Regions from separate parts of the Mus musculus genome. Here region 2 is reported to be linked to region 1. The links are microRNA targets in miRTarBase. Many come from high-throughput screens and were not tested one by one. Region 1 holds a microRNA gene; the other region holds the end of a gene's coding sequence.

The links. The annotated mature microRNA mmu-miR-2136 reads CUGGGUGUUGACUGAGAUGUG and lies in region 1 at 1,551-1,571, shown strand. An mRNA with a match to its seed (bases 2 to 7 or 8) in the 3' UTR can be bound and repressed. Matches are read on the target gene's strand: a 7mer-m8 pairs with bases 2 to 8, a 7mer-A1 pairs with bases 2 to 7 and ends in A, and an 8mer does both.
Region 2: miRTarBase lists Tmem176b as a target of mmu-miR-2136. Seed matches in the 3' UTR shown: 7mer-m8 at 2,554-2,560.

Annotation. Positions count from the first base shown.
Region 1 is chr9:104,424,613-104,427,914 of GRCm38, forward strand. Mir2136 (microRNA 2136) reads left to right here and starts at 1,501; the gene lies at 1,501-1,575.
Region 2 is chr6:48,831,486-48,834,787 of GRCm38, forward strand. It overlaps Tmem176b (transmembrane protein 176B), which reads right to left. Exons shown (of 7, transcript NM_001164207.1): 6 at 3,022-3,141; 7 at 2,326-2,654. The coding sequence ends at 2,568. Among named protein-coding and RNA genes, the nearest start is that of Tmem176b, 8.2 kb to the right of the region's middle.

The DNA.
Region 1 (3,302 bases):
GTAGTTTACACAGAATGGCAGCCAGGAGATCCAGTACTGGGTCTCAGTCCTCAACTCCTGACTCTATCTATCTGTCTGTCTTCCTTCCTTCCTTCCTTCCTTCCTTCCTTCCTTCTTTCTTTCTTTCTTTCTTTCTTTCTTTCTTTCTTTCTTTCTTTCTTTCTTTCTTTCTTTCTTTCTTTCTTTCTTTCTTTCTTTCTTTCTTTCTCTCTTTCTTTCTTTCTCCCACATATTACATCCTGACTACAATTTCCCCTCCCTTGACTCCTCCCAGTCACTCCCACCCAACCTCCTCTTTTTCCTAGATCTACTCTTCATGTTTTCCTTCAGAAAAGAGCAAGCCTCCTAGAGATATCAACAAAACGTGTCATAACAAGCTACAATAAGACTAGGCACAAATTCTCATATCCAGGCTGGACAAGGTGACCTACTGGGAGGAAAAGGGTTCCGAAAGCAGGCAAAAGAGTCAGGGACAACCGTTATTCCTACTGTTAGGAGTCTCACAAGAATCCTAAGCTACACAACCATAACATACATTCAGAGGACCTAGGTCAGACCTATACAGGATCCCTGATTGTCAGTTCAATCTCTGTGAGCCCCCACAAGCCTTGCTTAGTTGATTCTGTGTGCCATGTTCTTGTGGTATCCTTGAAAACCCTAACATCACTACAAAATAAAAACCAAGCAACTCATATTTAGCATATTACAGCAGCCATCTCTTTGGAAAAGGATGCATCATTTTCTTTAGAAAGGACTCTGATGGTGCAAGTCCTTTGTGATGATCACGTTCAAGCCTTGAGACTTTTTTTTATAAAAGGAGATCTAAAACAAGATTCTCAGAAGTGTTCGTAAGTAAGCCCTCTTAAATCAAAGAGAAATGTCAAGTACTAAAGTAATGTTAACTAAGAAGAAAATGGATATAAAGCCATTCAACATAGGACCTAGGAGGCTATTAGTAGCCCTGGGCAAACAGTCCCTGTCCAAGCGTGTAGACAGGGGTCAGAAAGCAGGGAAGTGAACAGGACCAGGAAGAGGAGGCAGAGACCCCATCTGAGCTCTCTCAGACCAGCAGGACAGTCTGAGCAGGTGAATGGTGGGGACTGAGCTAGTGAGACCTGACCACAGAGACAGAGCACAAGCACTTATGGCTTAGGGGTGGAGCTCCTTCCAAAGGCAGGGGAAGGGCTTCTGTATGCAGGGGGTCTGGTATTCACAGCCTTCCAGGTGGGAGGACCAAGACCTGATACAGAAGGTTGGGCTGCATGGTGGCCAGTGCAGAATCACTGTCTAGGATGGACCGTTGCCTTTGCTGTGTTGCTCAGAAGCCAGATGCGTTGTTTTTCTGGCACCATCTTGCTTCACCTTCACCACTGGAATAGACTATGAAATACTGTCCCACAGAGACTTGCTGTGGGAATTTTGTGGTTTAGATTTTCCACCACTAATTTAATTCCTTATCCTGTGGGTTGGAAGTGTAGACCTTGGTTGGCTCAGGCATATCCGCGTATCCAGTCAGGAGTCAGTTAGGAAGTTTTAAGTCTGAATTAATTCTGGGTGTTGACTGAGATGTGGTGGGGACCAGACCATTTTGTCACAGAATAGTGTGTGTGTGTGTGTGTGTGTGTGTGTGTGTGTGTGTGTGTGTGTGTGTGTGAAGATCAAGATTATCATGAAGCAGTCAATTGATAGAGGTCTGGAAACCCCTCTGGGCATGGGCTGCACGTAACAAAAAAGAACAGATGTGACTCTCTGAGCTTTCCCAGAGAAGTTACTGGCTAGCCACTTGCATGTCTCAGGACTGGCCAGGCTCTCTTGTTGGCTTTCATCCTCAAGAGCATCATTCTGTTCTTTCACTAACTGCCTTTATTTCTATCAAACACAAGTCCCTGGTTCAGTTAGTTGGTCCAGATAGAAGCACTCTCAGCAGCCACCCTCTCTGGACTCAGATCCACATCTATAACAGTATAGTTTTGTTGATCTGCAGGCTAGCCTGGGCTTCTCATTTGCATGTTAGCAGGGCATGGTTCCAAGGAAAAAAAAATTTCAAGGTCCTTTCAAGTACAGGCTGGGCACGGGTCTCATCATGTTACTGCACTAACATTCCCCTGGCCAAGCAAAGCATGGAACCAGGTCAGACACAGGAAGTTGGAAAACAGATGTTAATGGGAAGGACTGCAGAATCATACTGCAAACAGGTATGGATATGTGGGGGGAATAACTGAGGCCACTTTCTGCAAACAATCTGTCCATTTGCCCTTTTTCTTCCATGAGCAGGCAGAGGCAAAAAAAAAAAAAGGGATCTAAGTCACTTTATAGTTTATACAGAAAATCAGCTCTTCTTCCCACAGGGCCACGCCTGCTCAGGCACCCACCCACAGGGCCACGCCTGCTCAGGCACCCACCCACTGAGCGAGCTGGAGGATGCACAGTCACTACTGCCCCACTGTTTGGTCTTGGGCCTGGAGAGCAGGCTTCTTGGTCCTGATTGCCTTGGATATACCTCACGGCCCCTCATATTTGAGAAGCTTTCGGTAATTGCTTGCTACCTGAAGGAACCATTTGTGTGTGTGTGTGTGTGTGTGTGTGTGTGAGGAATGTAGAACGCTGGCAGAAGGGAGAATTCAAAAGAGACAATCAAGCCCCATGGCTTCTGAGACTGTCCAATGCAAAAATGTCATCCCAGCGATGCTCTACCTCCTTCTTGGGGGGATGACCGATAGTCCCACAAAACTAAGGTAATTAAGCTGTCAGCTCTTTGGGCGAAAGCCTTGGCAAACTCTGATCTGTAAAGACTTTTTGCCTTCCTCCTTCACTGTTCTGATGGGAGCCATCTTTAGGATTTCCGGTAGATGCACAGAGATGAAGGTGATCCCGAACTGTGTTCCATGGACCCCTTTCCTGGGCCAGTCCTTCAATATGAAATATGCTATGGCCTCTTTGCATGGCACACGACCACCATACCACATCCCCCATGTGCCTTTTGTGAGAATTAAAAACTAATTACAGAACGCGTAATTAAATGCTTCATCCTTCAAATCCTGAAAAAAAGAAACAACAACAACAACATCAACAAACAACAACAACCGAAAAACCAAACTAAGTGTTCCTTCCTTTGAACTAGATTATACTACTGGCAGTTGAGGACCTGATGCACTCTGTAAGGGGAAGGGTATGATTTGAAGCCTATTGCTTTCTTTTACAAACATAATAAAAGGCTAGAACTTGAGGGCAGGTTTACCATTTCCTATCCTGGAATCAGGGTTGATTGGAGCAAAGGCTTCTTTTTTGTTCTCCTTTAGTTG
Region 2 (3,302 bases), not on the chromosome of region 1:
ACTCCCTTTGTCCTATGGAACAGAAATGTTTGTCTTTTCCTTCCGGTCCTCTTCATGCAATTATGAGATAATGTTATAAGCCTCCTAATGGCTGGAACTAAAAGGAGTTGGAGGTTATTTTCCTTCCAACTCCCCATCATTCTATATATGGCAGCTATCTCTCCTAATGCCCTTCCACTTGAAGGTCTCACCATGGCTGTCTAAGGCTATAATGCTATGACTCTCCTAATCGAGATCCTTTGAACGGTAATTTGCCTCACCTTCCTTTCTATGAACCTACAGATTTCTTCATATCTTTAACAGATGCTAGCATCAAAATATCCTGGGGTATAAACTCACATTACACCACATCTCCTGCCCCTAACAACTTCATGATTTCAAAGAGCAAGGTGTGGTTTCTACTAAGTTTTTTCTCTCCCTGACTGGAGTTTCTCCCTCCTCTTCCTCAACATGTACAGAGTCACCCCAGGTAGCACATATACAAAACTGAAGACTGGGGCACTCTTATGGGGCTGTCCTGTGGTGCACTAGAGTTGCCTACTGTAAGTGGAAACAGAAATGACAGTGTCTCAAGTGGGAGAGGCAAGGTCCTGCTTCAGAGGAGAGAGGATGCTCAGGTGGATGGGAAACCCAACAGTCCCTTCAGTGTGACAGTGTCATGACAGTTACAAAGAAAATTCCTCTGAATAGGAACATTTCATTCTGGAGGGTAGCTCATTAAGACCAAAAACGCCCTAAAGGAAGGCTTGCTAAGAATAGAAAAATAAACAACTCAAAAGTCTCAGGGAGTTCCAGAAACTTACAAGGCCCCACTCTCCCTAAAACTATATGAGCAGGGAAGATTACAGAGGAGGCTTAGGTCAGCCAAACTGCCTAGAGAAAATTCTCCACTCATCAAACTGCCTGAAAGTTATGTAGATAATTCCATGATCCCAGGTCTTACAAAGTGTCACTTATGTTAGGGTTTTAGATGATGGTGGTGCCTTTGAGCCCTCTATGTTCCTGTAAGTATCCCCTAACACACACTCCTATAAGTAACCTCAGTAAAGTCACTGGGCCATGGAAGTTGGACTTTGGTGGTATTCTTATTTTGGTCTGTTGTTACTTCCCTATCTGTGCTGAGAAGATATACATTTATGTCTCCTCAGGAATAGTACCAGGACAGATAGGCTTGCTGACTGAGACATTATCAGTTCCTTTTTCTAACATACTCCCTTCCTCTTTTTGACTTAATAAAAATATGCCTGGGATTGAGGCACTAACAATTTTCACTTGGGGCTTTTTGGCTCAAAAATGGCTGTCTTTCCCCTGAATCTCCAAACATGGTTGCATTCCGAGCCACTGGGGATTTCACATTCAACATAGATTTTGAGGGGAACATAGTTATCTTAACACATAACACCTATGACCTTCAACTCCACCACAGAGGTTGATGAAACTGTGCCCTCTCTTGGCCTCTGAGGCATCCAGGACTGCCCCTGCTATACTATGGGCTGGAATCTTCACAGGTGGAACTCTGGGCATCTATGAATGAAAACTAAGAAGTACTCCTGCCTAAGTAAGCCATAGTTTCTTGAGATTTAGCTATTGACCAGGCAACAATGCCAGTGCACACTGAGGCAGGGGAATGCTCATCACTTTGCACTGCGCCAACTAGTTAAGCACCAATAGCAATCGGAGCCCCTCCCCCAGTGTCATCTTTATAACTTCCTTGTGTTCCTTACCTCTGACAGAAACTCGACAAACACTTCACACTACTTTCTTGCCTGGCACTTCACACTCTTTGATGTCTCACCTTCTAAACAAATTATATGTCTTTAATTCCATGAGACCCAAACCTACAGGCCTGTCTATAGCAACTGACCCTTGAACATGTAGTGGGATGGGTTCTGGGAGAATCAACTTAAAAGTATGTAAGATCACCTGAAAGAAGGGCTTCTCAGTAAACATGTATATGTGGTGGGAGTGGGAGTAATTTGATTATGTTAATTGGGGGGTAAAGACCCATCCACCACTGGAGCCACCATTCCCTAGGCATGGAATCCTGAACTAAGAGAAGAGAAAGAGAGCCAAGCACTAGTATGTACACATTTACCATTCTCTGCTTCTGATTGTGGGTGTGATATGACCAGCTTCTCCAGGCTCCTGCTGCTTTTGATGCTCCCCCCGCCAACTGATGGACAGGATAATAAGATAAACCCTTTCTCCCACAAGTTGTTTTTGCCAGAGTATTTATCAGGCTCCACCACCACTCTTCTGCCCACATGACAACTCAAGAAATGGCCTTTCCTGGCTCATTGTCTGTCTCAATGCAGAGCCCACACCTTTCTGTGAGAGGGTATTATTTTCAAGTTGTTTCTCCTTTATCGGCATTGGATAAAATGACATAATATCTGTTCGTGGAAGAAAGGACATTGGCGTGAGGACAGTGGGGAGAGAGGGAGAGAAAGAGGGCTGAATAGTGGCTACATCAGAAGTAGGTGTGTGCTGCGGGGCCAGAAGAGGCCCTGGGAACAGTCGCGTCCTCCCTGGATTACTATGGACAGGGACACGTGGGTGTGGGCGGATCACAGGATAGCAGGGATCTTCTCTTTGGCCGGGGACGCAGGTGCTGGATGCCCATCAAGAAGCTTCCTCTCTGACTCTTCTTCATTCTGAAAAGACAAGAGGAGGAAGAGATTCATGAATGGAAGGTGAAGACGCCCGAGGAGGTTTCCGCACTTGAAAGCAGCAGAAGAAGGGACCGACAGGGAATGACAGCAAGGAGGAGCTCTCCGGCAGGAAAGGTGAGGGGCAGAGTAGGAGAAGTGAGGAACAGACTTCGACAAAGTGGGGAATGAGCGTGAAGGCAGCCACAGAAAGGCACAAGGTAGCAGAAGCCAGCTGGGACACAAGATGGGTTCACACTCCACAGACAGTGAGGGATGAAGGAAGATCAGGGACTTCTGAACCCATGTGTTCCTCTCCCCTCTTCACTGCGGAGACCCACATTGCCCAGCAAGCCCCTTCCCGAACACTCACCAGGGCCTGGGAGCTCCGGCCATACATACTTCGGAGACTTAGTCCCAGGGAAGCCACAGACACAACAATCTCCAGGATACAGACCACTGTGAGCATGATGCAGAACGCTAGGAACAAGTTCTAGAGGCAAGGGAAGAACAGACTCAGTCAATTGTTGGCTCCCCTGATTCACATCGCCACCTTTCCAAAGCCACACTCAGTCCAGACACTTTCCAGGAAAGCAGGTGGCATCCTCTAGTGACAAGGTGGCCACCATTTCTAATCCACTTGCTTGGCTGGTG